Linked DNA regions of Oryctolagus cuniculus. The protein of the gene in region 2 interacts with the protein of the main gene of each other region in a pairwise test. Links are inferred from orthologs where the notes say so. Each region holds a gene or a part of one and is shown on either strand. Other genes may lie near its edges.

Region 1 (4,302 bases), on a different chromosome or scaffold from region 2:
GCACTCCAGGAGACAAATACGTTAGTGGAGACGCTGCATTCGACTTGGCTTTCCTTCCGTATTTATTACATCTTAGGCATTAACAGATGATGGAATTAACGAGCATCCCCTTGAACCTCTGGTTGTGTGTGCCATCTCCCTCAACCCTCCCAAGAACCAGCACCACCGCTGTCCTATCCCAGGCTAAGCTTCTGGAAGGTGACACGACCTGAGCAAGCCCACGAAATGGAGGGCCGGGTCTGCTCTGAACCTAAACCCTCGGGTCCCCGATCCTGAAGCCCAACCGCTAGGATACTCCGTCCTCCAGGAAGAACGCACTGAAAACAGCAACACCAGAATCGCTCGAGTTTCACCCGTGTGTGTTCCGGACGGACCGTCACGCTCGCGTCTAACCCACACATCTTTTCCTGTTGGCAGTAGCAAGACCATTTCGTTTGCATGATGGCAACAGCGTGGTCTCCCTGAGCACAAGCCGTCGGGAAAGGACGCGGGCACCCGGGCCTGAGAGCTCTCCAGCTAGGACTCTAATCGTCTACCCAACGCAGCACCACGTGTCCCTGTGGGTGTGCGGGAGCCCGAGTTCTTTTCCTACCCCTTCACAGGGAGGGCGGACGGGGCAGGGGGTGCGGAACGCAATTCACAACACGCCTTTGTTCCTTTCCTTGCGCCAAGTCCTCCGAGAGCTCAGCCCAGGCGCAGCTTTGCGGGCTGAAGCCAAACCCCAGGACCCCTGGGGCTCTGTCAAGGATCCCTGCAGGCGGCGCAGGTCTAAACTTTTTACAGCCCCTGGAGAGCAGACGCCTCTGCCCACGGGGATCGCCCGGGCTCCCTTCCTCACGACAAAGGGAACGGGGAGCAAGGGCGGAAGGGGCGCGTTCGCTTTCCAGAAGCCGGCCGGCTGCCCCGCGCGGCGCCTCCCTCCTTGGCTCCCCCAAACGCTGCCGGGGAAGGCGGGATTCCCGTCCCTCCCCTCGAGACCCGGGACGCTAAACCTCGCGGGCGCACTCACCGTCGTTCTCGTCGCTGTGCCGCCGCCGCGACATGCCGCCGGCCAGTGAGCCCTGAGCCGAGACGCCGGGCGGGAAGCGCCGCACGAACCGTCGGGCCGCCGGCCGGCGCGAGAACAGCGGCGAGGCGCGCGGACCGGCCGGCGCGCAGGCGCACTCGCTCTAGACGGCTCCCGGAAGCGCACGGAGGCGAGGCCGCCGGGTGGACCCCGCGGAGCCGGCGTCCAGAGCCTCTCGGGCGTTTGGTTGGCGCGCAACCGCCCCCTCGAGCCTCCTCCGCCTGCCAGGTGCTTCCTTCTCCCGCCTTCCGCTTTGGGTCCTTCCGGGCCAAGCAGAAAAAGCCGCCGCGTCAGCCAGCCAGAGCCCGGCGGCCGCGGGCCAGACTCGGAGGCGTGGTGGTTGAAGGAGGCCGCTCTAGCAGCCACCCGCGGGAGGCCTCTCAGTGGTTTTCCCGGCGGCCCTTGCGCTCACGGCCGCGAAGACTTCCGGAGCGGGGTGACGTCCCGAGAGGCCTTTCCTACGCACCACGCGGCGGGGTCTGTAGGGTCGAGGGCGGTGCGTGGTGACCTTTGCCCGGCGGAGGCACCGGGTGGAGAAGGAGCTAAGAAAGGAGCAGGACCGGCGGGTACGTGCTCCGCTCCCTCTCCCTGCCACTGCCCGGCTTTTGTGGCCTCGGGGAAGGTGGGCGGGAGGAGGGGCCGGGCGGCGTGCGAGGCGGTGCCGCACGAGCGGGGCCCGGGGACGGGAGGGCGGGCCCTGACGCGGGCCTGCGGGGCTCTGTGTGCGCCGGCCGTCCTCTTACCTCTCCCCTCTGTGAGTTGTCTGAGGAGGAGCGGATGAGGGCCCTGTGGTCGCGCTCTCGATGGTTATTGGATACATCTTTACGTGCACACTGTACGAACGTCTCTGCTGCCTTGGCCGTGGCCATCTGAGATTTCACCCCCCCGGGCTTCACCGGTTCCGCCCTCAGCCTGTAAATGGCACCGTCCGGGGAGCGTGCCAGCTCTACTTTGAAAGAGAATCCAGAATCAGACCTTGTGACGCCTTTGTTTAAACTCCAGTGACTTTCCATTGCAAACCTTCTGTCGTGGTTTGTACAGTTCTGCCCTCATCCACTGTTCTAACTGCTCCTTCCAGTAAATCAAGCCCTTTAACATTTTAGAATCTGTTTCCTCTCCCTGGAAGTCTCCGCTCCTCAGTCTGCAGTTCGGGCTCCTCTGGGCTGAGGTCCCAGCTCAGGCATCAGGTCCTTTGTGCGACCTCCCCTCGTTACCTAACTGCTGTTTTATTTTGTTCTAGAAGTATTGGTAAACATCTAATACCTTCTCTGTGCCAGACACTGAATTAAAAAAAAAAAAAAGATTTATTTACTGAGATCGGTACTGTGGCATAGTGGGTAAAGCTGCCGCCTGCAGTGCTGGCATCCCACATGGACGCCAGTTGGAGTCCCGGTTGCTCCTCTTCCAATCCAGCTCCCTGCTAATGGCCTGGGAACGCAGCACAGGATGGCTCAAGTGCTTAGGCCCCTGCACTCATGTGGGAGACCCGGAAGAAGCTCCTGACCCCTGGCTCCAGCCTGGCCCAACCCTGGCCATTGTGGCCATTTGGGGGAGTGAATCAGAGGATGGAAGATATCTCTCTCTCTCTCTCTCTGACTCTGCCTTTCAAATAAATAAATCTTTAAAAATAAATAAAAGTAAGAGTTTTGTTTTGCACAGCTGCATTAGAAATTGCAGTTAGCCAAATTGTTGACTGTGTGAATTTGTAGTTCAGGAGAGGGGCTGGGGTTGTAGATAAAATGTGGCGTATGTATTATTCTACACATACATGTTCCTTTATTTCTGTTCATTTCCCCTTTTTTCAATGAAGTTTCAAGTGCTCACAGAAACAGGGAAAATTACGTAATGAGCCCCATGCCCTCATCCCTGGCTCCAGTAATTGCCAACTATGGTTAATCTGGTTTCAGCTGTATTACTTGCCTTCCGCCGTTATTTTGAAGCAAATATAGTTTCTTAAGACCTTGCTTATGGGATGAGACCACCTAGGGAGTGGGTGTGGATAGAGCAGTTCAGCATGTAGAGACAGGACGATGAGGATGCAGCAAAGGGAGGAGAGGCGGTGGCTCTCATCGCTGTCTCATGCTAAGTTTGCTAGCTTAGTTAGTGTCTTCTGCTACTGGAATACAGGAGTTCCACAAGAACAGGGGCTTGGACGTTTCATTCAGAGCTGCATTGCCCATACCTTTTTGGGTGCCATTCTCAGAGCAGACACTCGCCAAAGAAATAGTTCAGGATACATAAAGAATAAAGTATCGTGAGGCCAAAGGCAGGTTTAGAGCGAGGGGCGAGGTTTTGGGGTGGTGGGAAAGGCATGTGTAAAGAACATGGCTTGTTTGTGGAACTGGACGCAATGTGGTGTGGCGAGGGTAGAGTGCACGCTGGGACACTTCGACCTGAGTCTAGGCTGACAGGAACCCAGTGTTTCAGGTCTTCAGAAGGGAGAGTGGCAGCAGCATGGCAGAGAAGACTTGGTGGAAGAGGTGACAGTGGTGGGCATGGTGAGCCTTTGGGGAGGGGAGGGGGTGGAAGAAAGTGGGTAACAAAGCAGCAAAGAGAGAAGCTTTGGCCAGTGTTCTGGGGAGGCGGCTTGGGCATGAGGCGTGACTGCAGGAAGAGGAGCCCTATGTGCAGCCACTCCTCCGGCTGTGCTCCCTCCCAGTGTACTGCCTCTGAAGGCACACTGTGCCTCGAGCAGTGCCTGGCACGTGGAAGGCCCCCACTCGGTCACTGTGGGATGGATTTTAATTGGAAGGTGATGTAAGCATTTTCTCTACAGTAAAACAGCTGCGGGCACAGGAGGGTGTGGGTCTGTTTTCCTTGTGCCTGTAAGGCCTGGAGCCTCAGAGTTAGAGACCTGCTCCTTTCGTTTGAACTTTGAATGAAATACATTTAAGAGGCTGGCACCATGGCTCACTTGGCTAATTCTCCTTCTGTGGCGCCGGCATCCTGGGTTCTAGTCCCGGTTGGGGCTCTGGATTCTGTCCCAGCTGCTCCTCTTCCAGGCCAGCTCTCTGCTGTGGCCCGGGAAGTCAGTGGAGGATGGCCCAAGTGCTTGGGCCCTGCACCCACATGGGAGACTGGGAGGGAGCACCTGGCTCCTGGCTTCGGATCAGCACAGTGCCGGCCGTAGCAGCCATTTAGGGGGTGAACCAATGGAAGGAAGACCTTTCTCTCTGTCTCTCTTTCTAACTCTGCCTGTCAAAAAAAAAAAAAGACATTTAAGAAAGAAATGAGGG
Region 2 (3,510 bases):
CCTGTTTTTGCAAATAAAGTTTTACTGGAACACAGCCAAAATAAATTGTTATCCTTATTCCAAGAGCCACATAAAACCATTAAAATGTTTTAAATGGAGGCAGGGGTAGACTATATTTTTTTATTTATTCTTTTTTTAAAAATATTTATTTGAAAGTCAGAGTTACAGAGAGAGAGAGGAGGAGGAGAGGCAGAGAGAGGTCTTCCATCTGCTGGTTCACTCCCCAACTGGCCACAATGGCTGGAGCTACACCTGAAGCCAGGAGCTTCCTCCGGGTCTCCCACAAGGGTACAGGGGCCCAAGGATTTGGCCATCTTCTACTGCTTTCCCAGGATACAGCAGAGAGCTAGATCAGAAGTGGAGCAGCCGGAACTCCAACCGGTGCCCATATGGGTTGCCAACACTGCAAGCGGCGGCTTTACCCGCTACACCACGGTGCCGGCCCCTTTATTTATCCCATTAAGATTTATTTATTTAATTGAAAGAGAGAAGAGTAAGACAGAGAGAGAGAAAGAGCTCAGTCTACTGGTTCACTCCCTAACAGCCCACAACAGCCAGGGCTGGGAGCCAGAAACTCCATCAGTTTCCCATGAGGGTAGCCGGAACCCAAGTACTTGGACCATGATTTGCTACCTCCCAGGCGCATTAGTAAAAAGCTGGATCTAAAGTGTAGAATAGCTGGGACTCAAGCAGGCACTCCAATATGAGATGCAGGAATTCCCAACAGTAAATTAACTCACTTTGACACAATGCCTACCCCAGGGAATAACATGTATCTTAAAAGATCATTTTGGGAGCTGGCATTGTAGCACAGCAGGTTAAGTCACCATCTGCAATGCCAGCATCCCCTATCAGCACAAGTTCAAGTCTTGGCTGCTTCACTGCCTATCCAGTTCCCTGCTAATATGCCTAGGAAACCAATGGAAGATGTCCCAAGTACTTGGGATCCTGTCACACACCTGAGAAACCTACATAAGCTGTTGGCTTTGGCCTAGCCCAGCTCCGACGATTGCCATCAGTTTAGAAGTGAACCTCTCTCCCTGTCTTTATCTTTGCCTTTCAAATAAATAAATACATCTTTAAAAAAAAAAAAAAAAAAAAAAGATAATTCTGGCTAAAGCGGAGGAAGACTGAGGGGGAAAAGTACAGTTAGAGCTAATACAAGACCAGTCAGGAAGATATTCCTGAAGCCCAAATTTAGACTTTTGTAGTAGGATGGTGGTGATGGATTTCATTAAATGGAATGGATAGGGCCTGCACCATGGCTCACTAGGCTAATCCTCTGGCTGTTGCGCTGGCAACCAGGGTTCTAGTCCCGGTTGGGACGCCGGATTCTGTCCCGGTTGCTCCTCTTCCAGTCCAGCTCTCTGCTGTGGCCTGGGAAGGCAGTGGAGGATGGCCCAAGTGCTTGAGCCCTGCACCCGCATGGGAGACCAGGAGGAAGCACCTGGCTCCTGGCTTCGGATCAGTGCAGCACTAGCCATGGCGGCCATTAGGGGAGTGAACCAATAGAAGGAAGACCTTTCTCTCTGTCTATAACTCTCTCTCTGTCTCTCTCTTTCTCACTGTCTAACTCTGCCTGTCAAAAAAATAAATGGAATGGATAAGATTCAAGAGCTATTCAGAAGATACCTGTTAGTGATTCAATGTGTATACCTATGTGAGATGTAAGGGATGACATTCATGTGTAAGGCTTTTATAGCAACCACTAACATAGGACATTGGAAGATGACCACTTTTGAGGTGGAAAGAAGCATGATCACAGTAAGATTATGGTTTGGGGTATATTCTCTTTGAAATGCTTTTTCAATACCATTCTCCACTGAAGGAACTCCTTGGCAAAAATTGATGACTTTAGGTCTGAGGCCAAGATAAGTACAAATCTGAACACTTGGTTATGTCACAAAGAAGTGCTCAGAAAAAAATGAGAACATTCCAAAAGGACACAGAAGACAGTTGTAAAGGCTTGCACTGGTCAAATATGGATCGGTTTGATGCCAGTAATGGACTATAAAACAATGGATATAAGAATCCATGAAACTTTTTAAATAAAGGGCAAGAAAAGTTCTTATTTATAATCAAATGTCAATATGACAAATAGAAAAATGATTATCACTGTCTCTCCCTCTCTTTGACTCTGCCTTTCAACTAAGTATTTTTTAAAAATTTCCTACTAGAAAATTTTTTTAAAAGATTTATTTATTTACTTGAAAGGCAGAGTTACAGAATGGGAGAGACAGTGGGAGAGAAGGAGAGAAGTCTTCCACGCTGGGTTCACTCCCCAAATGGCTGCAACGGTTGGAGCTGAGCCAATCTGAAGTTGGGAACTTCTTCCGGGTCTCCCACGTGGGTGCAGGGGCCCAAGGACTTGGGCCATCCTCTGCTGCTTTCCCAGGCGCACTAGCAGGGAACTGGATCGGAAGTGGAGCAACCAGGACTTGAACCAGTGCTCATATTTGATGCTGGAGCTGCAGGCAGAGGCTTAACCTACTATGCCAGAGTGTCAGCCCCTAGACATATTTTTTTACACTTGACAAACAGGCCCATCTTTTGGCAGTCTCACCAATATAGAGTTACGTATTTTTTTTTTAATCTTAGTATTGTTTCATGTTAGTTTCATAATATTCTAAATATTCTAAATAAAAATTCTAGAGTTTTCCAGTTAGTTTGCTTATATTTAGCAATTTTTAAGTTAACTACAAATGAAAAGACAGAGTAAAAATTTGTTTCATAAAATTTTCAAATGAAGAAAGAAAAATCACAGCATTAGGTCACTTTACATTTTAGGGGCGAGTATTTAACATAGCAGTTAAGTTGCTGGTTAAGATGCCTGTATCCCATATTGGAGTGCCTGGGTTTGAGTCCTAGCTCTGCTCCTGATTCCAGGTTCCTGGTAATGCACACTCTTGAAAGCAGTAAGTGATGACTCAAGCCACCCAAGTAAGAAACCTGGACTGAGATCCCAAATCCCAGCTTCGAACTGGCCAACCTTGGCTGTTAAGGACATTGGGGAATGAACCAGTAGATGGGAGGATTCTGTCTATTCTGTCTCTCTGCCTCTCAAATTAATAAACAAAAAAAAATGTTTAAATAGTTTTATATAGGATCCCTGCTAACGATTATGAACTGTACCTACTAATGAAATATAGAAGGGTAGCTCTAATACAAATGCTAAGAAAATTTTATTGTACACTATAGAAATCAGAAGTAGAATGAAGGATTACTTTAGTCTGCTAACAACAGATGATCATGAATAGGAAATAAAGCATGCTATGTTCATTGTATTCATGAAGATGTCTGTGACTGTACTTACAACAAAGGTCTACGTTCTTGTCCAAATTCTGCTTCATAGTAACCATCTCTGCAGTCTTTTCCAACTAAATCATGAGGATGTGGCTTATATGGGTCATTTTTTGTAACTAATGTAATTCTCACTTTTCCTTTTCCATAATAGTTGATAATCTGAAAAAGGGGGGAAGATACATATAATCTATTAATATATGTCATTAG

What was found. The genes of interacting proteins can lie anywhere in the genome.
Region 1: the proteins of REL (region 2) and TSTD2 interact in binary tests that used the Homo sapiens proteins (3 or more experiments, as listed by UniProt). The two-hybrid records come from large-scale screens. The link is inferred for Oryctolagus cuniculus from reciprocal best matches to the Homo sapiens genes REL and TSTD2.

Annotation. Positions count from the first base shown.
Region 1 is NC_091432.1:201,428,550-201,432,851, reverse strand, and holds the start of TSTD2 (thiosulfate sulfurtransferase/rhodanese-like domain-containing protein 2), read left to right. Parts: upstream 1-1,492; 5' UTR 1,493-1,632; intron 1,633-4,302. Other genes in the region: NCBP1 (nuclear cap-binding protein subunit 1), read right to left, coding at 1,010-1,043.
Region 2 is NC_091433.1:141,807,260-141,810,769, forward strand, and holds part of REL (proto-oncogene c-Rel), read right to left. Parts: intron 3,463-3,510; coding exon 3,314-3,462; intron 1-3,313. UniProt on the Homo sapiens protein: Proto-oncogene that may play a role in differentiation and lymphopoiesis.